2 linked regions of the Elephas maximus indicus genome follow. The protein of the gene in region 1 binds, or shares a complex with, the protein of each later gene. Links are inferred from orthologs where the notes say so. Each region holds a gene or a part of one and is shown in the gene's direction. Other genes may lie near its edges. The genes, in order: S100A10 and HLTF.

Evidence for each region.
Region 2: the proteins of S100A10 (region 1) and HLTF are in contact, whole or in part, in a crystal structure (PDB 4HRE), measured with the Homo sapiens proteins. The link is inferred for Elephas maximus indicus from reciprocal best matches to the Homo sapiens genes S100A10 and HLTF. Residues at the interface, in NP_002957.1 of Homo sapiens: Phe42, Asp58, Leu59, Asp60, Gln61, Gln70, Ser74, Leu75, Ala77, Gly78, Leu79, Ile81, Ala82, Tyr86; in NP_001305864.1 of Homo sapiens: Thr32, Phe33, Phe34, Pro35, Phe37, Phe39.

What each region holds. Positions count from the first base shown.
Region 1 is NC_064821.1:186,186,219-186,202,809, reverse strand, and holds the start of S100A10 (protein S100-A10), read left to right. Parts: upstream 1-10,311; 5' UTR 10,312-10,420; intron 10,421-10,454; exon of another isoform or gene 10,455-10,626; intron 10,627-16,591. UniProt on the Homo sapiens protein: Because S100A10 induces the dimerization of ANXA2/p36, it may function as a regulator of protein phosphorylation in that the ANXA2 monomer is the preferred target (in vitro) of tyrosine-specific kinase.
Region 2 is NC_064841.1:10,841,179-10,857,334, forward strand, and holds the start of HLTF (helicase-like transcription factor), read left to right. Parts: upstream 1-7,313; 5' UTR 7,314-7,524; coding exon 7,525-7,544; intron 7,545-9,019; coding exon 9,020-9,227; intron 9,228-9,245; exon of another isoform or gene 9,246-9,657; intron 9,658-12,800; coding exon 12,801-12,967; intron 12,968-14,637; coding exon 14,638-14,771; intron 14,772-15,298; coding exon 15,299-15,396; intron 15,397-16,156. UniProt on the Homo sapiens protein: Has both helicase and E3 ubiquitin ligase activities. Possesses intrinsic ATP-dependent nucleosome-remodeling activity; This activity may be required for transcriptional activation or repression of specific target promoters.

The sequences.
Region 1 (16,591 bases):
CTGAGCACACAGAGGTTCAGATGGGGAGCTTCCTTCCATCAGTCCACTCCCGCACCTCACCCCAGCTCAGAGGCCACAGTAGGATTCGAAAGCTTAGGGCATGCCATTATGAGCCAGGACCATTCTTTCCAGAAATCTATGTTTATCTCCTAATTTAGGCTTTCTGCCAACATCCACCGAGACCCTACTCTGCTCAGAATATACAACACACCAAGACAAGTCTTTGTCCTTAAGAACATTGAGGGAAACACACGAGTGTACAGGCAATTTTCTGTACACTGTGATAAGGGCCACGAGGTGCTACGGGAGCCCCCATGGAGCAGCATCCAACCCCAGTCTAGGGGAGGCCAGGGAGGCTTCATGGTGGATGTGATACTTGACCAGAGCTTTGGGCTGGCTGATTCTATAACCGGCCCACAGCCCGCATGTCTACCTCCTTTCCCGCCTCCACCCCATCTTCACACCATAACGACCATCACTATGCTGCTACTCTGCTCCACAGTCTCCATGGTTTCCCAGTGTCTTAGTCACCTAGTGCTGCTGTAACAGAAATACCACAAGTGGATAGCTTTAACAAAGAGAAATTTATTTCTTCACAGTAAAGTAGGCTAAAAGTCCAAATTCAGGGTGTCAGCTCCAGGGAAAGGCTTTCTCTGTCGGCCTTCTCATCAGTCTTCCCCTGGACTAGGAGCTTCACCACGTAGGGACCTCAGGTCCAAAGGACACTGCTTTCTTTGTGGTATGAGGTCCCCAACTCTCTGCTTGCTTCCCTTTCCTTTTAGCTCTTGTAAGGTAAGATGTGGTGCAGGCCACACCCCGGGGGAACTCCCTTTACATTGGATCAGGGATGCGACCTTAGTAAGGGTGTTACAATCTCACCCTAACCCTCTTTAACGTAACATTACAATCACAAGATGGAGGACAACCACACAATACTGGGAATCATGGCCCAGCCAAATTGATACATACATTTTTGGGGGGACATAATTCAATCCATGAGACCCAGTGTCTGCAATTAAAATCTTTATCCTGGAATGCAAAGCCAGCAGTAATCTAGCCTTTACCTCTCACCCAAATCTTTTTTTTCTCCTTGTTCCTCCAAATGCATCCTGCACACCCCACCCCTGCACCTTTATTCATGTTACTCCCTCCCCCTGGAATGCCCACTTCTCGGCACCTGTTTTTCATGCCCCATCCATGCTTGTCAAATCTGACCCAACCTTCAAAGCTCACTTCCAATCCTTCATCCTACATGAAGTTATTCTTAGTGATCCTAGCCAGAAAGGAGCCTGTTGTTAGCTGCCATCAGGTCATCCCCCAACTCACAGCAACCCCATGCAAAACAAAATGCTGCCTCATCTTACGCCATCCCAGGATCAGATGCAGATCAGGCTGTTGTGATTGATAGGGTTTTCACTGGCTAATTTTCAAAAGTAGATCTCCAGGCCTTTCTTCCTAGTCTGTCGTAACCTAGAAGCTGTGCTGAGACCTGCTCAGCATCCTAGCACCGCAAGCCTCCACTGACAGACAGATGGTGGCTGCACAGGAGATGTGTTGGCCAGGAATCGAACCTAGGTCTCCCACATGGAAAGCAAGAATTCTACCACTGAACCACCAATGCCTCAGAAGACAGCCTGCCTGTTCTAAACTCTTACTGGTCTTACCAGTTACCCCTGTACAACACTGGTCACACACTACCTCGTATCAGAGCTGTTCGTGAATGTACATTCTTCATGTTCCTGCCTACATTATGATTATGTTCCTAAGCAGATATTGCACTATCCAAAAAAAGGCAAGGTGGGGTTGTGGCAAGAAGGGAGGCTTTGAGACTAGACTTACCTGCCTTCTAATAGGACTGTGTGCCCTTAGGGAAGTTACTTAACCTCTCTGAGCTTCCTTTCCTCCTCTGAAAACAGACTTAGTATCTATCCCACAGGGCTTTGCAGAGGCTTAGAGATAATATTTGTAAAGCACAATAAATTATTATAACCCTAACACATCTAAAATACTCCATGAAATGATTTTAGGAAACAATGAAATAATTTCTGAAATAGTACTTTGTAGATGATAAAATTAGCATGGTAATTTTTAATAAGCAAGATTTGAAGTACATTTTTTATTCTTGTATGATCTGACCAATACAGACCTCAAAGATGCCCCCAATGATTGCCAACAAGTATATCCTCCCACAGCCAGGCACTTTGGCTTTTGGACTCTCTGTGCTCAAGACTATTAGATGAATTCAGTTTAAAGCCAAGTGGTAAAGCTGGTTGAATTCTTTGTTCTAATTAAGGTTTGGGTCCTTTCAGCACCAACCTCTAGTCATTAGTCCAACCTAACAGCTCTAGTTTCTTTCTTGTATCTTGATCACAGAATATCATTTTCCCACTGCCCAAGCCCTAGGAAATGCTATCAAGGGCATGAGCGAATGGGGCAGGATGCCAGCCTAAATCACAGCCTTCATCTCGAGCCAAACAGAAAAACCAAACCCAGTACCGTCAAGACGATCCCGACTCATCTCAAGCCAGCTGGGTAATTTTCTTTTTTTTTTTTAGTTGTCAGTCCTCTGCTTTCCAGACAAGGCTTCCTACTCCTTATTCTGCCACTCAGGAGACAACAAATCTCATGCACAGCTACTCACTCTGTGGCCAGCAGAGGGTCCCACAGCATTAGTTAGAAAGCAACGACACACCCTCTCCCAGTCTAAATTGTAAATACTGCCCAAAGCACCCCACAGCGGCCTCCCCTAGCTTCCAGCCAACAGGGCTGCCTGGAAACCCCAGAGCTAGCTGCTGGCTAGCATTGCTGAGGCATCAGCTCACACCAAGCAGTCAGCATTTCACAAGAGGTTTGAGTCACCAGGGCACCATGGAAGCACATTTCTGTTGCTCTGAGCCCTCCCCAGCCACATTCCAGCACCACCAATGAAGGCAGAGGATCTGTGGCTGAAGTAACTGTTTACCCTTTGATAGAGGCCCCAGAGCTTCTGCCTGAAACACCACTTGTTCTCAAGTTCTAATGAAGCAAAGAAAAACATGTTATCAGACTAGCAGACAACAGCTCACAATGGGCAGGTCATGTCTTGCAGAGTTCTCCCCCACTGCCAAGGTTCTTAGGACTCAGACAAGCTGGAGTTCTATTCCAGACTAATTACTTAACTCAAGGTACAGGGTGTTTTTGTTTTTTTCTCCTCTTTGGAAGAGATCCACAGCAGGAACTGAGAAATCAAGTTTTCTAGTGTCATGGTTAAAAATTAGTAGTGAAGGCCTAGTGTTACAGATTGAATTGTGCCTCCCCTCCTCCTAAAAAAATAGTGGTTTCTCCTTCGTTATGTTAATAAGGTCATATCAGTATAACCCATCACCATCAAGTCAAGTCCAACTCATAGCAACCCTATAGTACAGAATAGAACTGCCCCATAGAGCTTCCAAGGAGCGCCTGGTGGATTCCAACTGCTGACCTTGTGGTTAGCAGCCATAAATAGCTCTTAACCACTACGCCACCAGGGTTTCCTACCAGTGTAAGCTGGGTCCTAAAGCTCATTACTTCTGAGTGATAAAAAGATCAGAATAGACACAGAGACACACAAGGGGGAAAGCAGACAATATGTGAGGATCAGCTACAGGCCAAGAACACCGAGGAACCAAGAAATGTCCAGGGGCAGTTCTATTCTGTCCTATAGGGTCGCTATGAGTCGAAATCGACTCAATGGCAATGAGTTACTAGCAAGGAGGAAACCAAAACATGACTAAGACCCTGATTTGGACTTTCAGTGTCCAGAACTGTGAAAAAATAAGTTTCTGTTCCTTAAAGCTACCCACTTGTAGTATTTGTATCACAGAAGCCCTAGGTAACTTCGATACCTAGAATTTCCAGATTTTCCTGTCACCCACCCCAACCCATTACATAAGCAAACCCACAAATTTGTAACTGGTTTTCATCCTGGTTTCGTTTATCTCTTTTCTGGGTGTTTTTTAAGAGGCTGGACATAGTCAGCAAAATATTTAAAAATTACTAAAGGACTTCAAGGGACTGGTTCCTACCTTCGAGATGACTGCACATAAATACAGTATAATCCCCACAATAACCCACCTCCCAGGATAGGGATCTGAAACCCATTTTATGGCTGAGGAAATAAAGAGTGCATAGGTGGCAGTTACAAGGCCATGGTGAGAAAGGCCACAGAAAAGCGGTCATAGCACCGCCACATCCCTGTGAGGTAGGTATTACTATCAGATCCAGTTTACAGATGAAAAAACTGAGGTTTGGAGAGGTTAGGTGGCTTGTCCAAAATCCCATAGCTAATTGTGGCAGAGATAATAAAATTCACTTCCAAGTCTCCCTGAAACTGCACAGCCTGTGCTCTTACCCACTGTGTTCTGTAGCCTTCTATCTCTCCAACCTCATCTGTGTCACCCTCCCCTTGCTCGCCCTGCTTCAGACACACTGAAAAAAAAAAAAAAAAAAAGAAAGCCAAACCCATTGCCATTGAGTTGATTGAACTCATAGTGACCCTATAGGGACCCTGTAGGAGAGAGTAGAACTGCCCCATTTTCCAAGGAGTGTCTGTGGATCCGAACTGCTGACCTTTTAGTTAGCAGCTGCAGCTCTTAACCTCTAGGGTTTCCTCGGACACACTGATTGTTTTTAATTCCCTTATCAGACCAAGCTCCCTCCCACCTCCAACCCTTTCCAAATGCTCTCCTTTCTGCCTGGAAAGCTTCCTCCTGCCTCTTCTTTATTTGCAAACCCTAGTTCCTCTTCTTCCTCCAAGTCTTAAACGCCCCCACCTTGGTACAGCCTTCCCTGACTTTCTACCTAGAACCTGTCCCCTTTGATTCCTCTATCAGTCATACCACTCATTTCAAATTACCAATTTTTTGTTTGTTTGCTTTATTATCCCCCTTCTTTGTACTTTGTCTTTTCCGTGAGAATGTGAGGCCCATGAAGGCAGAAATTTGATTGTTTTGGTCATTGCTCTATGCTTTGTTCCCAGAAAGTGCAGGAATTAGTAAGTGCTCAGTAAATATTTGATAAATTATTATCAGAATTTGAAGCTCACCTATAGAATAAAGCAGATGGTTTCCAACCCCAAGCTAAGAGCTCTCCCGTGCTTTAAAAAAAAAAAAAAAGGCTACAGTCCTTCAGCTTCTATTGCTCCAAGAGCTACGTTAGCACAAAAGGAACCTCAGTTCAGTCTTCCTCCCTCTTTCTCCCTGTCCCCTAGAGAGGACTCTGCTCCAAAATGTTCACCCATAAATCACACACCAGGGACTTGGACCACTGAACAGCCTGCCTTAAACTCCCTAAGGAATTAAGCTGAGTGAAGGAAGCACAGAGAAGGTGAGGGTCTACTTATTCTTAGCAAACTCCCTGCTGGGGCTCGCTAAATGCCTTCATGATCATTGGCTTGTCCAGTCTTTTCTGTTGCCCCAAGAGATAGCTGTCAATCCCCATTCTACCAATAAGGAGACTTGGGTTCACAGTGATGAAATGACTGGCCCAGAGTCATGTACCTGGTAAGTAGGAGAGTCACTCACTCCCTGCTTAACATTCCCAGTGGCTCCTTCTTACCTTCAGAAAAAAGCTCCAAGACTCAGCAGAGTATCTAAGGTGCCCCAGGACAGGTACCCCCTCAGGACTCATTTCCATCTAAGGCCCTAGGGGCTCTACACTGTCCCCGTGCAGAACTGAAGGCAAGTCCTGAAATAGACATGCTTCCCCACAATTCCATGGCAATGCTTTTTCCTCTCGGCCTCCACAAAAATCCTCCTTGTCCTCTAAGATCCACATAAAACAAAAAAGTTGACAACCCCTAACAAAAATCTATCCTAAGAAAATAAGCATTTGAGAAAATATATCTGCTCAAAAACAGTTACTTTATATACAATTATTCTGAAAGCAAAAAATTAGAAACAACCTAAACATTCAAAAATATGGAACACATTTAACAATTATAATATCTCCCTATTTATGTATACCAGTACAGACACCTTTGGGGTTTTGTTTGTTTGGATTTCCAGCAGAAAGTCTTGACCAAATACTTGTAAATCAGTGGTTGTAAACTGACATACCATGGATGACTACTGTGATTCCTTAACCCAAACCAAAAACCAAACCATTTGCCATCGAGTAGATTCTGACTCATGGCAACCTCACATACTACAGAGTAGAACTGCTCCACAGGATTTTCTTTCCTGTAACTTCACAGAAACAAATCACTAGGCCTTTCTTCCACAGTACCACTGGGTGGGTTCAAACCACCAAACTTTAGGCTGGCAGTCAAGTGTAAACCATTTGAACCATTTAGAGACCTGAAACCTTAATAAAAAACCAAAAAAACCACTAGGCCACCAGGGTTTCCGAAACCTTAATAAGGCATTTTAATTGATGGATAAAGTTTACTTTTGCTACAACTATGATTCACACTGTTAACATAGTGTCTGGGCAGGCAGAATGTTAAGCTAGGCTGCACATGGTTTCTGTGTGCTGCACGGTACAACTTGATACACATAAGGAAACAAAGAAACTATATGCATTCCCTAAGACCTGCAAGAACTTTGTCTCATGAGTATCAAAGACTGAGCGATCACAGCAACAACTGTTCTACTCAGTGATCAGTGCTATATAAACCAAAAAAACAAACCCAGTGCCGTGGAGTCGATTCTGACTCATAGCGACCCTATAGGACAGAGTAGAACTGCCCCCATAGAGTTTTCAAGGAGCACCTGGCAGATTTGAACTGCCGACACTTTGGTTAGCAGCCATAGCACTTAACCAGTACGCCACCAGGGTTTCCATCAGTACTATAGTATAGTTAATATACATGCAACTTAATCCTTTCAAATGTGCTGCCAAAAATGCTGGCACTCAAAAGAAGCCCACTGTTTGATAGGGCTATGTTGAAACAAATAAACTTCCAAATTTCAGTTTTCTTTTTTACCCATATAACTATTCCAAAGCTGGTTGGTCTTCCTGATCAGCAGGTGGTTTTCCTCCACACTGTGATTCAGGGACCCAGGCTCCTTCCAACTGTGGCTCTTCCACCCCTAGAGGCACCTGGCAATTGGAGAGAGAGTGCAGAAAAGTCACCGCTGTTGCTTTAGTTGGCAAGCGACACACATCACTTCCTATTCTGCATTTGGCCACCAAGTGACACACCACACTGTCCCATTCTGGTCACAGGATCCCACCTAGGTGCAAGAGGTGCTGGGAACGTAATCCTTGGCTGAGCAGCCACTTCTCAGAGACAACTCTACACTATAGAAGGAGGAACACACATTTCTGTTAGACAGCCCGCCCTCTCTGCCACAGCCACCAACCCCCCAAAAAACTGGAAACCACTGGGTAATGGGGTTTTGTTGTTATGTGACATGAAGAAGTGGGAAAGTACCCAGGAAAACAATCCCTCCTGCTCCCGGCGTTTAGTGCACTGGAACCTGCCAGAAGTCTGGTGGAGAACTTGAACGTCGCCTCCTCTTCATTCCAGAGACACACCGGCTTGAGCCTCTGTTTCGTTTCCTCTGATGGCCATTCATTCTGCTCCTCTCCTCACCTCATCCCTTCACCCCCTGCTACAGCACCAGCCTTCCTGGCAGCTTGGGTTCAGGCTCTGGTCCCTGACTTCATTGCACGCATGTGGTTTACAAGGCACAACTACTTTCTGAGAAAGACCTGCCTGGGACCACTTCTCCTAGAAAAGGATTATAGGCATGGCAGGCTTAGAGCTTTATGGAGCAACTGATCCATAAATCATTAACAAGCTACATGAGAGCAGGGATAGTGTCCAGCATGCTGACCTTTTTCCCTACTGTATCTTCAGCATTTAACACAGCGTTTCAGAAACCCAAGTTCCTTCCCTTTTGTGAAGCTGGATCCACTAGGGCCTCAGAGTCCTCAGATTTCAGCTGGCAGGCAGGAAAGAGAGACGAGAGAAGCCACATTGCAGGTGAAAAGTTACTTGTTGAATGAAAAAACATAAAGGAATGAGCAAATGTACACTCACATTCCTGATAGATATTTAATGACATAAAAAATAGTAAAGATAAAGTATCACATGATAAAAGTAAAATAATTTGATAATCAGTGTAATCACAAATTGTAAATATATGTATATATGCATAAGACTGGAAGGCGATACATAAAGATATTTATCTTTGGTTCATGGGTTTACAAATTATTTTTTTTTTATATATTGCTATATTTTCCAAATCTTCTATAATAAAAAAGTAATCTTTTTACAATCAGATTTAAAAATCACAGTGTCGTTGCTTCCAGGTGGCTCAAACAACATTGTTGTTGGTAGTAGCCGTCACGTAAATTGTGACTCATGGTGACCCCGTGTGTGCACAGTAGAACTGTGTTCCAGGGGGTTTTCAAGGCTGTGATTGTTCAGGAGCAGATCACCAGGCCTTTCTTCCAAGGCCCCTTTGGGTGGGTTTGAACTGCCAACCTTTCAGCTAGTAGCCAAGCACTTAACCATCTGTACCACCTAGGGACTCCTGCATTATTGTGATTTTTAAAACATCTGTCAAATGTTGCTTCCCAAAAAAAATCATCCTGTGACTACTCCAAGGTGATTTGGAAGCCCTTCCTTAATGTTCCCATGGCGTCCAGAACACATGCCTCTGCCATTCACTAATCACACTAGATTTTAATTGTTTGCTTATCTATCTCCCAGTAAGACTTGGAGCACTTGAGGAAAGGAACTGATTCTTTAATCTCTGAATCCCCAGAGCCTAGCACATGCAGTAAGCATTCCTTAAGGTTTACTGACCAAATGAAGAAATTAAATAAGTGAATTGTGGTTGTGTGCCATTCAGTAGATTACAACTCGTAGTGATCAATGTGACAGAGCAGAACAGGACTGCCCCATGGGGTTTCCTAGGCTGTAATCTTTACAGGAGCAGATGGCCAGGTCTCTTCTCCTCCTCGGAGCTGCTGGTGGGTTCAAAATGCCAACCTTTCCTTAGCATCAGAGAGCTTAACTACTGCACTACAGGGCTCCTAAATGAGTAAATCCAGTTGCATCTTTCCAGGGACAAAAGGGACCCAGGATCGTCTCCACTGTGACTGTAAACTGAGGCCTGATATGAATTTGGGAAGTACATGGGAAGATTCTGAAGAACTGCCCCTGAAAAGTCAGCACCAGTGCAGGCAAGAGCTGAATTCCAAGTTGGATTTTCCTGGCAACAGTCAAGCTTAGCCACGTGGTAGCACTTGGAGGATTCCCTGAGTCTGCTCATTCCTTTGGGATCACTCACTCCTTCAGGATCTCCCCTGGGAAAGAAGTGTGAAGGAAAATCCCAGGGTTTGGGACTCATTCCTTTTCTGCCAATTGTTGCTAGCAGTTTACATTAAACCCTAAACCACAACTAAAATTATTAATGTCTAAGGTGTCACGGAGGGTGGCAGGTAGAATCCGGTAACAAACACCTAGGTTTTCTTTAAATTTCTTCAAGAAATTTCTAAAGATTTTGAGGGCCCAGCAGGCAGGCCAATTACAGAACAAAAAGAAGGTTTTGAACCTTCGGTTTTAACAGTTTTTTTTTTTTAGCCCAACTGAAGCTGAGCTATTGACCAAGTGAAGCCACATAAGCCGTGAAGGGTAAATCCCTTGTTCAACAAAGGGTCTGAAAAACCTCTAGAGCTGACAAGCCAAACACTCCCCTCCCTCCAGCACCACAGCGAGTCAGGCGGTCGGGGAGGGCGGCTTCTTCTGTAAATGCACGCGGATCCGGACCACAGGCCGCGGAAAGCCAGGGCTGATATCCCAGAACCTAATTCTAGAACAACTAAGTCTGCAGCGAACGCCTTCGCGGTGGTTAAGATTTCACGTGCCCCTCCCTGCAATGTCGTCTAGAAAATGTAATCCCTAGACCTTTTTGCGGGGAGACCTGTAGGTTACCGGAGAAGAGCCGCTTGCTTACAGCTGAGCTGGGTCTGGGCCAGCGCGCCCCACCCGCAGAACGACTAGGCTTTTTGATTTTCACACTCACCCACTTTCTAAAACCAAACCCGACAGGAAGGGCACGGCCGAGGGTGGGGATGGCCTGAAATATTCAAGAGTCTGAATATTCCTACTTGAAGAGGACTTTCGATAATACATGCTCACTTGGGACGAGAGAATGGCAATAGTGAAGCTCTTCTGCAAAACGAGAGCAGGGTGTCTGGGAGGCGCCCGTGGGGGGAGGGGGTGGCGTGGGGGGGGTGTGCAGGAAGAGGAGGGAGGAGACAAGGGGTGGGGTGAGTGGCGGCTGGAGCACCAGGCCAAGGCTCCTCCTGCTCCCCGCGCGGGACTCGCGCCTCCGCCCTCTCCCCCCCCCCGCCCCCACGTACTAAGGCGCAGTGCCTGCAGCGCTGCCCTCACTGGCCCTGCGTCCCAGCTCGCTGAGCGTCCGTGCCACGCCTCCCGGCCAAGGTGAGTGCCGCCGGACCCGCGCACTGCCCGTCGGCCAGGCGGGCTGTCCCTCCTGCTGTCCCAGCCCTGGCGCCTAGGGAAAGCCCCCGAGCCTGCTGCTCTGCCTGCCGGACCTGGCTTTGCGGAGCCCCGGGCACCAAGCGCCTCGGCGGGGAGCCGCTGCTGGAGAATTCGCTGCTCCACGCGCCGGGCCACACCCAGGCGAGGCGAGAGCGCCCCTCCCCGGTCCCCGCGCGGCCGTCCCCAGACCCTCGCGGGCGGGTGTGGGGCGTGCGCTGTATTTTACTACGGGACATGGATGTTGGTGCCCCTGGGCTTTTGCTCGCTCATTCTTTTTAATTTGTCTTCGTTTACGCCCACCTTTCCTGCATTTCGTCTAGTCTCCCGAGTTACTCGAACCCCGGCTTCTGGCCCCCTTTCCCGGCCGGCGTGTGTGGTTTCGTTGTGGGCTCCGGCCGCAGGCGGACCTCTGTCCAAGTGTTCGTAGCCCCCTCCGGCTAGACGACCCGAGCAGGCTTGGGGAGGGCTGGGGCGGGTTGGCAGCTGGCGGATTCCCTTCCTAAAGGAGACACCAGCCCCTCACCCAAACAGAAGCTTCAGGTCGGGCTTCCTGTTGTTTGTCTACCAGACGGGGAGATTCTCACTGCTGCGAGAGGGAGGACTATTGGTTTTCTCTATAAAGCGGGTTTTCTGTTGCTGGTGTTTTTTGTTGTTGTTGGGGGGAGACTGTGAAGCGAATCTCGACTGAATTAAGTTTTCTCTTCTTGTCATCTTCATTAAATAAGTGGCCCTGGAAAGAGATGGGGGAAGAGTAGTTTTCATGAAAGGTCTCCCAACCCCAGCGCAGTGAGACGGAGATAGAGGCCGCAGGCCATTTGTACCTCCTTCACAACTTGAACTTGGCCAAAGGAATGGAGCTTCTTTCCAGCCCTGGATGCTGCATTTCCCAGCATCGATCTTGATCCGCCTAACTGAAACCCGGGGCTTACTGCCATGTCGGGTGGGGGTGATGAGGAAAGCGGAGCCCTAGCCAAAGCTGGAATACGTTAAACCCCCCACCCTTCCCTCTCCGGACCTCTCTTCCCTCCCACGGGGAGCTGGAAGCATTCTGCAGGGCGGGGTTACCACTGGGGACTCCAGGATTCTCCTAGTGGTGAGGGGTCTATGACTCAGCTGTGAGACCATGTGGGTGTGGCCCTGCTGGTTCCAGAGACTGCAGATGGTTTGGACAGAACACTGCCTGAAGGAAAAAGGAACTGTGCCATCTTAGAGGACTCTTCCAGGAGGAAGTGAGTCACACCAGCACTGACGGGCAAGCTGAAGGAGAGTGCCTTGACTGAACTGTATTTGAGGGCAGTAATTAGACCATGGCACTGGGTTGGGGGGTTGGGGCAAGGGGAGACTGCTGGCTAGGTGATGGGCCTGCATGCTGCCTGGCAGCCTCCCTCAGCTTTCCTTGGGAGGTGGCTTTTCCTTAAGAGGTTTGCAGTGGCTACCGATTTTTTTTCGCCCTGCAGCTTGAGCTTAAATCTCTAAGACTGGATTTCTGTATCCTGTGCTTAGAGGTGAGGCGACTCATGGAAGCACCCTGTCAGTGATCTTTGCCTTCAAAGTGTTTCAGCAAATTGCAAAAGATAATGCCAAAATAAATAAATAAATAATGCCAGCGGTTGAGGCAGAAATAATGAGTTCATATAACTTTTTTCTTTTTATAACTCATTAGAAATTTCTTCATCAGCGCCGCCCCCACAGATTCCTGTCTGGATCCTATTTAATCATTCCCTTCTCCTTGAGAGCTAGAGGCTAGTTTCTTCGTTACGGTCCTTGATCCACCATTCGAAGCATCTTATTTCAGTGTTTCGCATTTTTTTTGAGGGTCAACTGGGTATAAAGCAATTGTTTGGTCTCACCCTGATGTCTAGGTCATGCTTACCCCTGGCTTTTTCCTGGATACAACATGGGATAAGTCCTTTTCCTCCCATGTCTGGCCTGTGGCCAGCCTCTCAGGCTGCCACCACAGTGAGGTCAGGCCTTTAGGCTGGGTGGAGCTGAGACGGGGTGCCTTTCTGCTTTCCACTGACATATCCAAAAATGTGGCTTTTTTAGAGCACTACCCACTTGGTATGCCCCTTGGACCCAGCCCAGTCTTTTAAAATGTAATGATGAGGGAAACAATGGAACCCTTTCAGTGTTATAATGTCTAAATTAGCATTCAGAGTGCTGGGAACATTTGATTAAAATTTTAGGATCTTTAAGCTTCTCTTTTTCCCCAGAACATAATTTCGGAATTGCCATCAAAATCCAAAACAATGAATTTACTTATTTTTTTTAGCAATTTTCAGGCTTCCTGTCCCTTCACCAAATAGCTGTCACCTACCCCCACCAAAGGATGTAATAGAGTTTGTCACAATGGCTATTGTTGGCTGATTCAGGTGGATGCTGGATAACTCTTCAAGGAAAAATGGATGTACTCTGCTGGGGACAAGGAGGCTTCTGAGTTCTTTATTCCTGTTGGGTCACATCTGGAATTTATCCTTTGCTGCCCACTTCTTTGGTGGGAAAGTTTTATTTGGTAAGAGGTGAGGGAGACAGCCTAGATCCACACCCATTGCCTCAGCTCATTATTTTTCTGAATTCCCTTTAAGGGATCAAATTCAGTTTTCAAAAAAGAAAGAAAAAAAATTGTTTTCAGAATTCCCAAAGCAAAAGGAAGGAAATCTCAAATATATTTGAAATAATAGATCTTTGTTATCACTGCCAATTATTTTCTGGGTGGTCTGTAAGAAAACTAGGGTCTGGATGAGACACTGAAGAGCAAAGTAAATCAGGCCTTTTGCTCTTTACAAGTGTCCTCTTTGAAATTACGACTGGATCCGGGCATAGGTCCAGAGCAAACATTCGGGATTGCTCAGGAGCAGACAATTTTGTAAGGAGGCCTGTTGTTCCCCTGCTACTTCCAGGTTGGTCAGATCTTACATTGTCAATCTCATGCTTACCCACTTATTGAGGAGGCACTGTGAGGGCAGGACAGTAGCTACTGGGGTCCTGCTCAGGTAGCGCACAGACTAATGAGGAAACAAATGCAAATAACTGGAATTCAGGACAGACTTTTAAGAAGTATGCCATTAGCTAGTGAACTTCTCAGAGGCAAGAACCATGCGTGTGTCTATCTGTCTGTCTGTCCCTTAGTGCCTGACACCATGCCAAGACAGGCAAAGTAGGTGCTCTGTGTGGGAGAGCCAAAAAGGGAAACTGAATTCCCATTACAGGGACTAAATTTATGGAGTCTAGAATTCTCTTCCATAGAGAAAATTACCTCGAGAAGGACTGCAGCTTCCAGGCCTCCACTCTTAAGTCGCGTTGCCCACACAAACATATACAGGCCATATCCAAGCATCAGAACGAAATGATTTAATAAAAGGCGCATGAACAGTGAGATGGTTAATATCCCATGGAGATCACCGGTGAGATAGGCATGAAGTAGAAGGTGGGATGAATGAAACATGAGAAAACACCGAGAGTGAGAGAGGAGAGGAGTCATGGCAGGGTCTGACCAGACCTGTTTAGCAGGACACATTTTTTCCTTTGCCTGTGGAATGTGTTTTTCTCTGTGCTCTACTGTTCCATTCAGAAGTGAGCCCTTTTGCGGTTCCTTCCTGGCCCTTCCCAGCTCCCACGTGTTCTCGCTGAGCTCTGAGCTCCAAGGTTTTCAGCCCAGTCCTGGGTGATCAAACCTGGACTTAGCTCCTGCCAAGGGGTCATTTGATTCATTTATCCGCTCGTTTAGCAAACAGGTCTTTAGTGGTTAACGGATAAAAGCAGAATAATTCACAATTCTTGACCATAAGGAATTTAAGTCTAAGATGGAGAGGCAGACAGACAGACTATGAAATGTGATCAAGTGGTTCAGGTGCTGGAGGAGGTGGTGGCCGTGGAGGACGCTGCTGCCTCTCAGCCCCGAGGCCCTCCCATCAGGGTACCCATCCAGGAAGCAGGAGGCCCACCGTTGCCCAGGAGTGGAGCGTGTCGGGTGGCTGGGGGGATGGAAACGCCAGTCAAGTCCCAGAACTGCTTTAGCAATCAAAGGTCAGTGCGGCAGCCCCGCCCCGCCCAGCCGCGCCCCGCCCCGCCCATGAAGGGAGGGCCTTGCCGCGCTCACTCAGTGGCGCAGGTGCTGCGCTCCAGAAAAAGGCCAACCGAGAAGGGCTACGTGTCGGTGGAGGTGATTCAGCTACTAGAGAACAGAGTCGTAGTCACAGTGTTTCCCCCCTTGTTTCTTAGTCTCTAACCAGTGTGCTGGCTCCTTCTTCAAAGCAGAGTTTCTTGTTGATAAACAAAAATAAACCAAACCCGTTGCGGTAGAGTCGATTCCAGCTTATAGCAACACTATAGCACAGAGTAGAGCTGCCCCATAGGGTTTACAAGGAGAGCCTGGTGGATTCGAACTACCCACCTTTTGGTTAGCAGCCATAACTCTTAACTACTGTGCCACCAGGGTTTCCAGCCTTGTTGATAAACCCTGATCAATACTATGAACTGAGACCAGGGCATCTCCTCTGACTTTAAACACTTAATTTCACTTTCACAACCTTACATCTCCCGGCCAGCCCCGGCTCTGCATTCTGATTGCTAAAGGTCTACTGGACAAATAGGACGTCAGCTGGCTGTTGTATTCACAACCCATTTGCTGAATAAAGCTGCCGGGAGGGGGAGGGGGAACCCAGTGGGGCAGCGGTGTGGCTTCTGAGACAAAAGCTCCATCACTTGGTAAAGTGACCTGAGACCCGAGCGCTCTCGCAGGGCGCGTAAGACTGGTTGGGAGGAAGAGATTCAAGATGGCTAGGATATCCTCACCTTTCAACTTGTATTTCTTAGAAGTTCTTGGATTAGCCTATCTTCCTGTATTAAGGGGTCTTGACCCGGGTGGCGCAGTGGTTAAGCGTTTGGATGCTAACCAAAAGGTCGACAGTTTGAATCCACCAGCTGCTCCTTGGAAACCCTATGGGGCAGCTCTCTGTCCTATAGGGTCACTATGAGTTGGAATCGACACCACGGCAACCGGTTTGGTTTTTTTCGTTTGTTTTTGCCCTACTGCAAGGAGCCCTGGTGGCGCAGTGGTTAAAGCAAAAGGTCGGTGGTTGGAATCCACCAGCCACTGGGGAGAAAGATGTAGCAGCCTGCTTCCGTAAAGATTAAAAAAAAACAAACCCACTGCCGTTGAGTCGATTACCAACTCATAGCCGTAAAGATTACAGCCTTGTAAACCCTATGGGGCAGTTCTACTGCTTCTAGGGTGGCTGTGAGCTGCAGTGGACTCCACTGCAGTGGGTTTGGTTTGTTTTGCCCTACTGCAGAGTCCCTGGGTGGCACAAATAGTTAAGCACTTGGCTACTAACTGAAAGATTCGAATCCACTCAGAGGCACCTCAAAAGAAAAGCCTGGTGGTCTACTTCTGAAAGATCACAGCTCACAGACTATTCTTGAGCCATTGAAAACCCTATGGAGCACAGTTCTACTCTGCAACGCATAGGGACACCATGAATCAATCTGCCACAGGTTTACCCTCCAGCATTCCCTTTCTTACTTCTGTGGTAGTGCACTCTGGGTTTCCTTCTGCTCTGCCCTGTGAAGAAGGTGATGTCCCACAGCACGTTTCAACTTCTAGGATCTGTAGGAATTGGAAATGAAGTGCTCTGCTGCTCTGAGCTTAGGCACAGGTATTTTTAAACATCTGTGGCACCTAACTCCTTCCCTGTGTATTTAACAAGTGGGGTAGGATTCCACGTTCATCTCCCCTGGGTGATTCACTCAGTTCATTTCTCTTAAAGCACACACGTGGCTGGACTTGCAGAACCAATCCAGGCAAGGCAGACTCCCTCTGAGTCCACTGCCATCTGAAACCCATATGGGGGATGGTGGATAAGCCAGATCTGGGTGTAGGAAGACAGGGGAAAGGGTGTGGTTTCCGCTGGTATTCATCTCCCAGTGGACTTCGCAGCCCTTTCCAAGGGAATTGCCCTCCAGATGAATTATGCCAGATTCTGGCTTATAGCATTCGCTAGAGTAGCACATTCTTTGGCACGCTGTTTCCCGTTCTTTTCTGGGGATTAAGGGATAGCGTATACAATTCTTAAGTGTAATTCCTCAGTCCTAGTGTTTACCAGCTCCACC
Region 2 (16,156 bases), on another chromosome or scaffold:
CCCACTATAGAGTTTTTGATTATACAAAAAGTGCATCTAGAGTTGATGTTTTGGTCTTTTAACTTCCTAGCTACACAGGAGACAGAAAAGTGCTCAGCAATCCTTGCAGTCTTCGTTAAAATAAAAAAATAACATTGGCTATGTCCATGATAAAATCCATTGACTTCAAGTCGATTCCAACTCATAGCAACCCTATGGGATGGAGGAGAACTGCTCTATAGAGTTTCCAAGGATTCAAACTGCGGAAATTTTGATTAGCATCTGAGCTGACCAAAAAAACAAAACCCACTGCTGTGGAGTCAATTCTGAGTCACCCTTAAATCATTCTACAGCCCAGACTGGCGCATGCGTGTTGCCCTGAAGCTGAGAAAAAGGCCTTGGGCAGGAAGCAAAGGAGGGGGCATATCTGAGGCTGGCCTGATGCCTCAGCAACACTCGGCGGGGGCCTGGTAAGAGCATGTAGGGAACCAAGGCCTAAAGGAGGAGGAAACAATTATCTCTTGAGAAAGGGCTGTGTCATCTGGAACACCATAGATTCTTCAGCGTGGGAGTTGGGGTCTGAGTGTCTCTTTGTTCTGGAAACAATTCGGGCTGTTTCAAGGACATGCACCTGGGAAATGAACTGGCTTCTGGCAACAGCGTTATTCTGGTATTTAGGAACAATCCTAACCATCTGTACCAGGAAGTCTACCTAAATCAACCGTATTCCTTGTCAAATGACGGAGGACTCATTAGACAATAACTCTATAACAATAATAGTCATGATAACAAGAGCGTTTACTGAGTGCTTACTTCAGGGCAGGCATTTGGCATTTGTTATTTTATGTAATTAAGAAGAATTTTTTTTGAATAAACTTTAAACCAGACAGTGAAACACAAAATAGGCAATCTGCAAAAGAGACTGCAGAGAGAAAACGAAATCTCGTCCTTTTATATAATCAGGCAGGTATAGTCTATGACATACATATCTAATTAAGAAAAATTTTACTTGGCATTAATTTTACGTTATTTCCTCTGCCCAGTCAACTGTGGTTTCACCTAGGATTCTACCCGGAATAAATGTGAGAAAATTCAATTGTAAATAACTGACTCACACACACAAAAAATTTTCTATCATTTCCTCTGCCTTATTCTCTTTGGTTACTTAAAAAGAAGGCTCAGAAATAGTATTGCACCAATGTTAATTTCCTGGCTTTGATAACTGCACTATAGCTATGCAGGGTGTTAAAGTAAATGAGGTAAGGATATGAGGGAACTCTGTACTATTTTTGCAACTTTCTGTGTCTAAAATTTGTTAATAAAAGTTAAAAATTGGTTCATAACTTCCTTACTCTAAATATTTTACATTTTTTGTTATAGCAAAAAAGCAATACATGTTTAATATAAAGAACATTTTCCATGCATATAAGGACCAAGAAGAAAATGAAAATTCCCCTAATTCAAACAGCTAGAGGTATCTGCTATATCTAGGTGTCAATTCACCGAGATATGTGTGTATATGTCTGCACAGCATATATGAACACCTATCACTAACTCTGTTTGCCAAGATAAAACTTTATTTTTGTTTATTGAACTTAATTTGTTTTAGGCCTCCGGTTTGCCTAAAAAAAAAAAAAATTAACTTAGTGACTTCCAGGTAGTTCAGTAAGGAGCCCTGGTGGTACAACGGTTAAATGTTTGGCAGCTAACCCAAAAGGTCTGTGGTCTGAACCTTCCCGCTGCTCCTCCAGAGAAAAGACCTGGCAATCTGCTCCTATAAAGACTACAGCCTAGGAAACCCTATGGGGCAGTTCTACTCTGTCCTATAGGGTTCTATGAGTTGGAATCAACTTCAAAACACAAAACAAAAATAGGCAATTCATTCATTTTAAGATTTAAGTTCTTTCAATTTCAGGTTTCAAATTCTGTCCCCTTCCTCTCACCCTCCCCCCAAAAAACTCAGCTGCCATTGAGTCAACTCTAACTCATGGGGATCCCACCTACGTGTGTTGGAGTAGAACTGTGTTCTGTAGGGTTTTCAATGGCTGATTTTTCAACAAAAGATCACCAGGCCTTTCTTCCAAGACTCAAGCCTTTAATTTTTGGTTAACAGCCAAGTGCATTAACCTTTTATACCAATCAGAGACTCCCTTATCTTCCAGGAGGATTATATTTGGATTCCATTCATTTCTGCAGGCAGCCACTGCTGATATAATTTATCCTGCTTCATCTTTGGACATCAGGCCCCTGCTTCTGGTTGCTAGAACCATGATCTGGTAAGGGCCTCCTACCTTCACTGACTCACTAGGGAGTCTCACAGGATTCTGGAAGGCTGTCCTCAGGCCCTTTCACAAAACCTTCTCCCTCACCTTCATTTCTTTATTCCTCTGGCATGTTTCTGGTCTCTGAGGCTGTGCAGATATGCAGAATACTGAAGCTACTGTAGGGAAATGAGCTACAGCTTCCTTTGCTTATGGGGTCTCTGGAAACTTTCCTGCCTTTGTGGAGCTTGGCCCAAAGTGATAGCATTCCTGATTCTTTCCCTAAGACCCTCCAAGCTTTCATTCCTGATCCTGAAAATTCTCTGGCTCTGTTGAACTTTCTCCCCTTTTGAGTGAAAGAAACAAACAAACAAGCTCTTATATTATCATTCATTTTCCTGGAATCTATTATGATGTAAACTTGGGAATTTTTTGTATGGAAGCCAGACTTTTAGAACTCCAGAGTCTTTGCCTAAGTTTTTTTTTTTTCTTTTTTTTTTTACCAAAGGCTTCAAAATTCCATTTTGTAAACCAACTGTAAAAGGACATTTTTTGAGACAATTGTGAAAATTTGATAATGAACTAGTTATTAGAATGCATCAAGGATTGATTTATTATTAATTATATTGGGTAGGGTAATGGCCTTATGGTTATATACAGTTACACTTGTGAAAGCTGGAGCCTATGTAAGGCAGAAACCTGTCAGAGAAGGAAAACTCAAACATTTTCCACTAAAACGAGCGATAGCAAAGTGTTATTAACACTACATCCTGTCAAAGGTAGAAAACTCACAAGACCCAGAAAAACAAGGCAGTCCTGTTGCATTCTGGCTCTCACAGGTTTCACTGTATAAAAGTACCTGTATTTTTTAGAGAAGTCAGTAAAGGACATTATAGGCAGTGTGGGGCGGGAAGTGACAAAAGATATGAGGCTGGAATAAGAGGGAAGGAACAGATCTTAAATAGCCACACATGCCATTCTTTGATTTCATGCTGATGGCATTAGACTGATATAATTAATTTGGACGACCAGTAGCCAAAACCAAATCTGTTTCCACTGAGTCAATTTTGACTCAGTGCGACACTATAGGACAGAGAACTGCCCCATAGGGCTTCCAAGGAGCAGGTGGTGGATTCGAACTGCCAACCTTTTGGTTAGCAGCCTAGCTCTTAACCACTGTGCAACTAGGGCTCCTCTATATGTACAGGTGTTAGGATTCCAACACATATTTTTTTTGGGGGGGGGAACAATAATTAAAGCCATTATCATCTCTTACCTGAATACAATGGTTTCTAATTATCAACTGAGGGTCCCTTTGCTTCTGTTCTTGTTTCCTGTAATTCATTAACCCCAGAACCGCCAGCGTGATTTTTTTAAAAGACTAAATCAGCTTGTCATTCTCCCGCTTCAAATATTAAATGGTTTGCCATGGCATTTAAAATAGAATACATCTTTGCTCTAGACCATGAATTCCTATGTAATCTGGCCTATACCTTCCCCATCACCCTCTTTTTATGCCACTCTCCTCCTCACAACCACACAAGCCACCCTACTACAGTTTTGTTTCTTTTCAGTTACAAATGTTTAGTTCATTTTCCAGAAAACATCTAGTGTGATATTTTCGAATTTGTAACTGTTGTAACATTTCAATCCAACTAGTACAAACTGCACTTAACCTCATTTTTTTTTTTAAAAAAGAAAGGACAAAGAATAATGAGACAGAACCCCCACAGTGCTATGTTCTTCCTCCCCTACAGTGTTGTATTGCAAAATTGTTTCCTTTGCTGAGCTCCCCCACTCAGCTTTGCATCTGAGTGCTGCTTTTCCTTGGAGATTCTATGTAAAACCAATTGCACCTGAATCATACCATCAGGAATGTTGCTGATGTAAGTTGTAGGAACTCCCTACTTGCAAACCCCTTTAAAAAGTAACCTGCCTGCCTGCCTTTGGGGAGCAGGTCGGCAGCATTAGCTCCAACTGACTCCATTTTCCTTGTACAAGGAAATACAGGTGACTTTCTTATTCTCCCACCTCCATCTCTCGTTTATTGGCCAATACGAGTCACGCCGAGTTAAGAACCTGGGGTTTCCACCCAGTAACAATCATGAAGTAAAAAACTGTGTCCAACCTGAACTGGTGGATCTGAGATGTAAGATAGTAACAATAGCGAGAAAAATGTTGACCTTAAACAGCAAAATTTTTACTTCATTCGAGAGGCAATCTTCAGCCATGGGGGTGTCATTATTCATAGATCTTAGGTCTAGAAAGAGCTAGGATCGCCTATATTCTCACATAATTTTATCTTTCTGTCTAATGAGCATGGATTCATTATTTTACAGGCAAAACATTATCGATCTGAGCATTTTCTGGCATATTTTCAAAGAATTTATGCAGAATTTGGCGCACCAAAAATGGAACTGCATTCCACTTGCCACTTAATACTTCAAGAAGAAAGGAAAATAACTAAGATACTTGAAATGCTACTATCTTCGTCTTCCTCATCGTCTGCCTTCTGTTTGGTGAGATAAATCAATAAATTGCTGCAAAACCTATCTCTCACTGCACTGCTGGCTCATGTTTACCAGCTGCCCTCTAGCTGATTGCGACTCATGACAGCCCACGTGTGTCAGAATAGAACAGTGCTCCATAAAGTTTTCAACACCTGATTTTTCAGAAGTTGATTGCTGGGACTTTCTAGGTGCCTGGGGATGGGCTTGAATTCCAACCTTTTGGTTAACAGCCTAGCATGGTTAACAGTTTGCACCACTCAGGGACTCTGGCTCAAGTTTACGGATCATCATAGTTTATTTAGGAGCCCTGGTGGCAAAGTGGTTAAGCACTCAGCCGCTACCCAAAAAGTTTGTGGTTCAAATCCACCAGCTGCTGCGAGGAAGAAAGATGTGACAGTCTGCTTCCGTAAAGATTTACAGCCTTGGAAACCTCAATGGGCAGTCCTACTCTGTCCTACGGGTTGATAATGCAATGGGTATAGTTTATTTAGGAAAATGAACAAATGTCTCTAGAAAAACTGCTTTACTGACTGCCTCTCTTACTCTCTTAATGGGACTGTAAAACGGAGCATTCTTTGAAGGGCAATTGTCAATATTTATCACATTTACAAATACATTTGCTCTTTGATCCCAGCAATTGTTTTCTGACAATCTGACAACTGCAATGTGCAAGTAGGTGTGGCTCAGAGCCATTACCAGCTTCATCCAATTCTGGTGCAGCTGAACCAAAAAGGCCTCTCTAATTGGTAGCAGCCTCTCTTTGGCTCCCAAGGCCGCAGAGCCGGCTGGTACCCGTCCTGCATGCCCTGGGCTACAGCCGCCTCACTGGCCCACCTACCAAAGGCTGAGTTCCCCTCAGACTCCTGCAATCTGGCCATGGAGTGTCTTGGACTGCCCCTAACAGTTCGTGGAGGAAAACAAGCTCCTTCCCTGGGGCAGCTACACGTGCCTCAGGGAAAACTTTGACCCAACCATTTCCAGCAATGGCTTTTGAGTTATCAATGCCCACAGAAACAGCAGTCAAGAAATCAAAAGACACACTGCACTGGACAATTCTGCTGCAAAAGACTTCTTTAAAGTATCATAAAGATATTACTTTGATGATTAAGATGCAGCTGACCCAAGCAGTGAAGCCGTGGTCTTTTCAACAGCCTCATATGCATGCAAAAGCTGGACAATTAAAAAGGAAGATCAGAGGAGAATTGGCACATTTGAATTGCGGTGTTGGCGAAGAATATTTAAAATACCTGGACTCCCAGAAGAACGAACAATTCAGCCTTGGAGGAAGTATAGCCAGGTGCTGCTTAGAAGTTAGGATGGCGAGACTCCATCTTGCTTACTTTGGACATGTCATCAGGAAAGACCAATCACTAGAAAAAGACACCATGTTTGGTAAAGAGTCATCAGGAGCCAGAGAAACCCTGCGTGAGATGCATGGGTGGATTATGCAATATGCAAGGTAAACACAGTCCTTACCTTGCTTACCAGATCATCTGTAGTGAACAATTCCACATTTTTTCACCACATCAAAAATTTTGCTTCCAGGTATGGCTGGCATCTGTCTCCCTCCCAGCCCCACAGCACCTCCCTACAGAATCAAAGCCTCTTTTCAAATTTACAACCCCTGACAGTAAGCAGGGTAAGCACAGGTTTACTTCTACCTACTTACTAATACGTAGTGCAGTTTCACACGGGTTTCACTTTGATGTGGCATGGTGAAATCCGTGTTAAATTGTTCACTAGAGATTAGTAAGCACAAGGAAGTCCGCACTTACTTTGTTTACTAGGTAATCCACCCCTGGTGAAATGGATTGACATGCTGGTTGCAACAATGCGTTCAAATTCTCCAAGGATTGTGAGGTTGGAGCAGGACCTGTTTCCTTCTATTATACATAAGGTTGCCTGAATCAGAACGATCAGACAGCAACTAAAAATAACAGTGCTGTGCTTTCCTGCATTAAGAAATGATAAATTTAATTAAAAACAACAACAAACACAACCAAAGTGGGAGAGGTGCTCTATAACTCTAAGTTCCAATTAAGATTTTCTGAAAACCGTCCAACTCATAAAACCAAAAACCAAACCCATTGCCATCGAGTCGATTCCGACTCTTAGCGATCCTAAGGACAAAGAACTGCCCCGTAGGGTTTCCGGGAAGCGGCTGGTGGATTCCAACTTATTCAATGGGAGACCCTATTCCATGTCCCATCAGAGGAGGAGAATATTGGAGGCAGGATCAGGGAGGGACTGAAGAATGAGGCTGAGGCTTAAGGCTGGGGGGGAAAGAGGAATGAAGAGACACTGCCCTGCGTTTGACGCAGAAAATCAAACAGAAAACCTAGTATCACGGGCACCGCAATCGGGCCCCGGGGACCGCGTGGCTTTCCCGCCCGCCCGCATTGGGGGCGGGGAAGGACCCGGATGGTCCCACCCCTGCAGCCCGGGCCCCCACCTTCGGTACATCGGAGCGCGGGGCGGAGTCGCCTTCCCCTCCGTGTTCTGATTGGCTTGTCTCCGTAGGCTCTTCTTCGCGATTGGACGCGCTCAGCGCCAGTCACACAGGGTCGCCGGTCTCTCGGATTGTTGGTAGCAGGGACAGCGTCGACGCCTGACTGGATTCGCGGCGTTTTATCGTCTAGTGGGGCGCTCTTCCTCGGGCGCTTGGAACCTGTCTCCGGCTTCCCGGCCGCGGGGCCTGGAAGGAGGCGTCCCCAGGCGACTGGAGAACGTTCCGGGGGCGCTCAGGAGCTCCCCTCGCCGCCCCGCGCAGCGCCATGTCCTGGATGTTCAGGAGGTACAGCGGCCGGAGGGGTGGGGCGCTGGGGTTAACCGAGCGGCGGCGTCCCCAGATGAACCTGACCTTCCCCGCGCCCCTGCCGCGCTTCCTCTGCTGTTTGCGCCGCTCGTATTTGTGGTGCCCGTCGCTCCTGGGGCCGCGGAAGAAATAAAGGCTGCAGATGGGTGGCCCCCCAGGCGAGTCTTAGGCCAGGGCCTTGGGAGGTCTCTGTCACGGGCTGTGGGGGCCTGGGGCTCCGTAGCCAGGATTCCGGCCGTGCTTTATTCCCCTAGCCGTCCCCTAGGGAGCCACTGTGCGCTGGCGTTGTGCTCGGGATGGAGGGCCGAGTGGCAGAGTCCTTGCCCCCGAGGGGCTTTGATCGGTTTATGAGCGTGCACAGACGTGCAGACACAGGCTTCCAGGGGAGCCAGAGAGGTCTGCGTGATGTGCGAGGCAAACGCAGGGAAAGGAGCGACTGCCCGAAAACCCAGTGCCGTCGAGTCGATTCCGACTCACAGCGACCCTACAGGACAGAGTAGAATTGCCCCATAGAGTTTCCAAGGAGCGCCTGGCGGATCCGAACTGTGGACCCTTCGGTTAGCAGCCGTAGCACTTAAACCACTACACCAGCAGGGTTTTAGGAGAGGGGAAACTTCCTGAAGGCCCCCCGCCCACCACACTCGCCCTCACTTTCATTGTCTGAATCGCTCTTCATGCCAATTCTGCATCATTTTATCCACGAGGGGCCTGGGGTGGTCCTGGAACCAGCGGGGAGAGGGCGGGGCTTGAGGTCAGCTCCCCGTGATGGCAGGGTTTGACTACCTGAGTGAGATAAGGATTCTTTGCGGAGGAAACGAAAGCAGTGAATGCTGCATAAGCTATCCGTGTCTACTGTAATAATCCAGGGATGGGCTGGATTATCTGTAAATATAGAAATTGCTGAGCCGTTTTGGCAAGTCTCTTCTAGCTCAATCCACATTGAAATATTGGCCTATAAGTGTAGTTACAGACATCACACATATACCATCTCATATAGATTGGTTATCCTTAGGCTAATCAAGAAATTTGTGAACACTGAACTCTGGTGGCATAATGCTTAAGAGCTACAGCTGCTAACCAAAAGGTCATCAGTTCGAATCCACCAGGCGCTCCTTGGAAACCCTATGAGGCAATTCTACTCTGTCCTTTAGGGTCGAAGTCAACTGGACGGCAATGGGGTTAGTGTTTTTTTTTTTTCCCATTCTGAATACCTTGGGTGTGGAGGAGGTTATGTTCAACAGGTAAGGTTCCTGGAAACCTCTCCTGCCCCAATCTCTGTTTTAACCAGGGTAACTCTTAGTGTATATTCAATGGTTCACACATTTGATTTCGTTTGCTGTGTGAGTAAAGTGTGAGAAAACTGGCCTATAGATAACTGGTATGGTCTTTGAGAAATACCTGGTTAAATATTGTAGTGTTTTTCGGTGACGACTTTTTTTTTTTTTTTTAAATAGAGATCCTGTTTGGAAGTACTTGCAGACTGTCCAGTATGGAGTCCATGGAAATTTTTCACGCCTTTCATACCCTACTTTCTTTCCCCGTTTTGAATTCCAAGATATTATCCCTCCAGACGACTTCCTAACTAGTGATGAAGAGCTAGATTCTGTTTTATTTGGAACTTTGAGAGGTCATGTTGTTGGACTACGCTATTATACAGGAGTAGTGAGTATAAAGTAGATATTAAGTTAAATTGTGACATATTTATGGTGTTAACCTAGAAAATAAGAGAATCTAAAAGGGGATATGTGCAGTTAATATTTATTTTTACTCTAAGTAATTGAATATATCCAGGCAAGAGATAATAGATAACTGAACTACTTTGACTTAATATTCTCTTATGCTTACAGTATACAAAGCACTTTGCCTGCACTGTTTCATTTGATCCCAGCAATAACTCTGAGGCAGATGGGACATCTGTATCCCCTTTTTATAATGAAGGAACTGAAGCTCAGAAAGGGGCTAAACATTTTGCCCAAAACACACGGATTACTAAATGGTGTATTTGGGAATGACTTCCCAGTCCATTGCCTTCTCCTCTTCTGGCCCTTAGTGCATTTCTGCATTTTAATTTTGGAAGATCAGCTCCTGCTGTGTAAGCGAATTGTCTATTGTTAAGAGCTTTTTGTCTTTTTTCTTTTCCTGTAGTGAAGACTGTCCCTGTCTCCCATTTTTTCTTTTCTTTTGTGCCTGTCTTTTTGTAGCTCTCTATCCTCTGCATTTTGTCTGTGTTGCGCGCGCGAGCGCGCGTGTGTGTCCGAAAGAGAATGTAACTTTCTCTGGTCGGTAATTTGTTATGGTGGTCTAGTATGCCTCTGTGTTACGTAATTTTGTTTATTATGAAAAATTTAAAACATACATAAAAGTAGACTATAAACTCCTGTATAACCATGATCTATATTCAACTGTTCACAAGATCTTTCCATATCTGCTTCGTGTATCCCTTTTTCCTTTTCTTTGTTCTTTTGTACTTTAAAGGAAATCCCAAACATATCAACATTTTACACCTGTATAATTCAGTGTGTATCTTTTTAAAACTACATTTTTGTGTCATTTGTATAGTGAAAGTTAATAATTTCTTCTTACATGTAAGAAGTAATTCATAATCAGATTTTCTTGTCTTTTTATAGTTGGTTTTTTCAAATCAGCATCAAAAGAAGGTTCATACATTACCTTTGGTTATTATACCTCGTAACCCTCCTGCCGTTTTTTTTCATGTCATTGACTTATTGTAGAAACCAGCTGTGTTATTCTGTAGAATGTTCTAGATTTGTTGCTTCTTCCACTGCCCCATGTTTTTCTTAGGTTGAAGCTTCTCAGATCGTTTTTTGGTTGTCTGAATCATGTTCTGCAGGAGATTTCCTTGCGTAGAAATTTTATGTTCTGGATTTGTCTATGCTTCTGTTTTCCCAATTTTTTTTTTATATTGAAAGTTTTTTTCAAGTCATTCTGTAGTTGTCTGAAAGATATTTACTAGGAAATTCTATGGAAAGGAACAATGTTTCCTCAGTTTTTACGTGTTCATAGTTGAGGAGTTTATACTTGAAGGGCAGTTTTGCTGAATATGTAATCCTTGGCCCATGTTTTCTTCCTATGTTACCTTAACGTTGCATAAAATATTACTGGTGAGAATCTTGATGCCAGTAGGGTTTTATCTCCCATATAAGTGTATTGGAATTTTTTTGCCTGGATGACCAAAGAATGTTTTTCCTTATCTTGAAAGTCCAATTGTTTTGTTATGGTATGTCTTACTTAGTATTGACTCTTCTGTAAGTTCAAATTTCCTTTTATTTCAGAAAATTTTCTGTAGCTTTAAATGTTTGTTTTGTTTCATAGCTTTAGTTTTTCTTCACTAATCTCTCTGTATGTTAGACTTTCTCAGCCCATGTCTATTATTTCCTTTGAAATCCTTTTTATTGCTTTCCTAATTTTCGTCATTTATTTCCCTTGCCATGTTTTTCACAAGTTCTGGTCACTCTTGTGTTATTTCTGCTTTTGTCTTCAATCCAGAAATGGTTTTTCTTTTTTCTAATTATTTCCTGAATTCTATTGGTTCTTATTTTATATCCATCTCTTGCCTAACCATGTAATTTCTATGCTTTTCTATTTCTGATTTGTTCTATTTTTTTTTAACTTATGTTGTTTTCTAAATTACTTTAAACAATGGTAAAATATTAGGTTATGGTTTTCTGCTGTGTTATTACTCTGAGCACAATCACTATTTGATATCAGAACAATCTTTATGACATTGGTAATCTAATAAAAATGTGGTAGGCCGATTAAAAGTCATCAGCATTTAATTTCTTCATTTTTTAAAAAAGGTGTGTTGTTTATTTTATATGTAATGCTGATGAAAAGTCATTAGCATTTAATTTCTTTATTTTTACAAAGGTGTATTATTTATTTTATATGTAATACATGTTCATTATTTTAAAAAATGGCTAAAAGAAAAAAAGAATTAAATCACCCTAACACCTACCATTCAGAACCATACCTTATTCACATTGATGTTTCTTCCACAATTTTCTCTGTGTGCATGTAAATTGCAATCATATTGTATATTAATAAAAATGAGGTCATATTATCCTACTATTGTGATTATCTCTTTCTGTTAGGTCAAATACAAACAGCTTTGCAAGTGGGTCTTCTAGGGAACCACCAGACTGGTCAAATAATGATAATTCTTTGGGAATGAGACTTTCTTTTTCGTTGCAGAAAGTGTATAAGACACATTTGCCAATTCAACACTTTTAACGTGTATAATTCAATACATTGATCATATTCATGATATTGTGTGACCATTTACCCCTGTCTTTTTCCAAATTACTCTGTCACCATTAATGGAAACTCAGTGCCTGAGAGTGAGACATTGAAAGAACTTTATCCATTCTGCTTCCTCTAGTCCCTGTCAGGCTACGTCAGGAATGCCAGTAGGCTTTTATTCTTAAAGGCTACCGTGTAGTTGGAGAGCAGGGGATGGGACTATGGCACTGATAACTCAGTTATTTTTCTTGAACTAATGCTATTCAGGTTGTCATAAGCCTTTTGCTAGTTTCCAGAGTTGCTTTTATGGAAGAGAAAGTTCTTGGAGGTCCTTACTTTGCCATCTTCAATGATAACACTCTTGGGCAACTTTCAGTCACGTGAAATCAGAGAATGGCATTAATTGAAGGCAGGATATATTTTTCTTATTCCAGTTCTTGTCTGCCTTATAATTAACACCTTTATTTTTCACTTTTAGATTTTGGAAAACTGAGGCTGAGGAACCAGGCTGCCTGGGTTCAGATCTCAGCTCTGCTCATAACTTTATGACCATGAACAAGTTACTTAACTTTTCTATGCTTTAATTTCTTCATCTGTAAGATGGGGATAATGATAGTAACTGCCCTACAAGTCTGTGAGGATTTAACAGGTCAATCCATTTAATGTACGTAGAATAATGTTTAGCATATAGTAGGCACTCAGTAAAGGTTTGCTGTTTTTCAGAAGTTGTGATATTAGAAATTTTAGATAGTGTAAATCTGTGAGCTTTTAGATATCAGGAATTTCTTAACTTCCCAATGAATGTAAATTAGAAAAGCACTATAAAAAGAATTACTATAAAATATATTCTTTAATTTTTCTATGGTTTGCTTTCAAGAAAAATGCTTTTCTTATATGATGTTTATCAGTAAGCATTAAAAAATAGATAAAATATGATGAAGTAAAGTGTTAACTTCTGCTCATTATTTTTGTTAGGTTAATAATAATGAAATGGTTGCTTTACAACGAGAGCCTAATAACCCCTATGATAAGAATGCGATTAAAGTAAACAACGTGAATGGAAATCAGGTTGGCCATGTTAAGAAAGATCTTGCAGCTGCTTTGGCCTATATCATGGACAACAAGTTGGCTCAAGTTGAAGGGTAATGTACTTTGAGAGTTTAGTTTTAATAATTGGGGATTGGTAGTTAACTCTGAACTTGTTAAGGCTCCTTGCTAGCGCCTGTGTAGGTACTCTAAAAACATTTTTAAAAATTGTGATAAATCTATAAAAACCCTCTCCTTGTTTATCGACATGGTTAGATTCCAAAGACCAGGTTGTTAAGCAAAATCAGTGTTACGTGAAAGTGGAGGATGACCAAATCAGCTGACAAAACGGAGGAGGACTACATCATTGCATAACTGCCAAGCTGCATCATTACATAACTGCCAAACCACTGGAAATCATGGCCCAGCCAAGTTAACACAAAACCTTAACCATCAAAGCCAGCATTGCTCTTGCCTCACACCTTGGCATTCGTTACTACCAGGCTTATGTTGTTAATGTGCAACATAGTTGGATAGTAGCTTTTTCTACTAATGTCATAAATGTGAATGTTGGATAACAAGGTAGTCGATAAGTGAGGAGGTGTGTAACAGATCATTTGCCATTTTGACATTTTTTACACGTACCATTCAGTGACATCAGTTACGTTCATCATGTTGTGCAACCTACATCACCTAAGAACTTTTATTACTGCACCTTTAGTATGTATTTAGTAAGTGTTTTCATCCTCTCTTAAGTCTCCACTACTCCAGCTATGAAACAGGTATCCTCTCACTTTCCTACTGGAGAAATATAGACTTTGGTTCAAATATTAGGAAATCCATACGTCTCTCAAAATCTTTGGTTACATAGGCTTGGGAGTCTGGAAGTGTTTAAATCAGGGGTTATAAACTGGCAGCCTGTCATCAGATGTAGCCAAGTTTCAGCTGGCACAGTGTTAAAACTTTTTTCATTCATTTTAGCATTCAAATATCAGGGTGTTTCTCATTTTATATGTATTAGCTTTTCTTTCTAAACGTAAAATGTATTTACAGAGATTTTCTCTTGACAAATGGGATATCTGGCAATGGTAGACCCTCATTCCCACGTGGCATCAGTTGACTGGAGCTGAGTAGCAGCTGTTTGTTGGGATGGGGCGCACATAAACTTTCTAGTTTCACCACTTCTTTTTTTTTAAACTCTGAGCCTCTTTAGTTATCTTTTTTTTTTTTCAAGGCATTTATGTTTCTGATCTCTTCAAATATTTGGAATATTTAGGATATGAAAAGGTGAGTTTGGATGGTAAACTGCTTAGCTGTGTCTTCCTTTACTTGTTTTCTCCTTTTTAAATTCAAGTTTTTAAGGTATTGAGAATAAACTTTTAATGAATTGTGCATCAGAAATAGTTGTTATGAAGCATTTCCCATTCTCCCAGCACAACTGGTTTGCTGTCTTTGGTGGCCCTATTAACCAAAGCTGTTATCCTCTTATACTGTTTTACCTATCTTATAATCTTTGTCACAGGCTATGCTTGTATTTTAAAATTGCTTTATCCTACTTTCTCAGTTTCTTCTGGCAGTCTGTTCTTAAAATCTACTATTTTCTGGTTGTTGTTGATTCTATTCCCTGTCCTTTTCCTCTTTTTCTGGTCTGTCCAACCTAGTTCCTTTTTATTTTATTCGCATGCAGCATTTGAATGGTACACTTAGAATATTTAACAGATTCTCAATGGTAAAAAAAAAATTCACACTTCTAATTTCACACTTTTTTCTCCCCAAAATACAATAGGGTAGTTCCTTTTGGTGCAAACAATGCTTTTACCATGCCTCTCCATATGGCTTTTTGGGGAAAAGAAGAAAATAGAAAAGCAGTTTTAGATCAGCTGAAGAAACATGGATTTAAACTGATTCCTCCACCAAAAAGTAAGTTTAGGGTTTTGTTGACTATTATTTTGATTGTAAAACGTTTATTCTCTTAAGTAATACTTTGAGTTTGGTTGGCCAAACTAATTTGGGGTAAAGGTTCCAAGTTACAACTTTTTTTTAGGCATCTCTTTAAGGAAATTCCAGATTTATTGTTTTAACTCTTTATTTTCAAATAATTAAAGGTTCACAGGGAGTTGCAAAAACAAACAAAAACATTTGCTGGAAGGTGTCCTATATACCCTTTACTCTGTTTCTTTTGGTGGTAACATCTCTAAATCCTGAATTTTCAGCATTCTTACTGATAAATTATAGACAAGAAGAAAAGGATTGTTTGGCAAGAGTTTGCTCAAATAACATGGAATTATTTTAATACTTTTTTTTAATGGTTTAGGATTTAGCTTTTTTTTTTTTTTTAAAAGACCTATTAAGGGAATTTTTAATATAGTTTATTATGTAAGTTTGAAAACTACTTAATGCAAAAAATGCCTATTTCGTGATTTTGTTTTCGTTTTGTAAACTAACAGCTTTAGGATTCAGTGTGGAAAGTGGTTGGGGCTCTGGAAGAGCGGGACCAAGCTACAGTATGCCAGTTCACGCTGCAGTGCAGATGACGACTGAACAGGTGTGCTTCTCTTTTATTTTGTAATCCAAATTTGAATTGAAAATGTTGAGGGTCGAGGTGTTAAAAAGGAAAAGGCAAATATGTATATGCAAATATTAACGATCTTCGTACATGTTGTTAAGTTATAATTGTAGAATAGGGTACATACATATTTGTAAACGTTTATGTAAAAAGAAGGAGGTGATAAGGAAATATATTCCGTACACACGTATTTATACATACATAAAGACACATGACTATATGTGGGATGTTTTTCTATTTTTTGAAATTTTTACAATGTAAAAATGAAATTTTTTATAGTATTAATTTTTTTAAAAAGTAATTCTTGAAACTTCCTGTTATTTTTCTTAGTCATTGTTAAAAGGGCTTGAGTCTGTGTGTGGTGGGTAAGCCTCAAGTTACTTCTAATTTTTTAGACCTGGCTTGATTTCTTCTAGACTGCTGCTGTATGTTTAAGTCCTAATTTATAAAAGTATAACACATACTTGTTGCCATGAAATTGAACTCAGTCAAGTTAAATAAAGAAATTAGTGTAGCACTGAAATCATCCTAATACCTTATACCACATAGTAAGTTTCTGTTGCAGTAGTAACAAATGGAATGTCATTTACTGAAAAAGATTCAGTTGCACCTGGTAGCATAAACCAAATGGTTTGAATACCACTAATAGAATCACAGAACTGCTCTGACAGGGATCACAATAGAGGGTCCCGGACAGAGCTGGAGAAAAATGTAGAACAAAATTTTAACTCGTATAAAA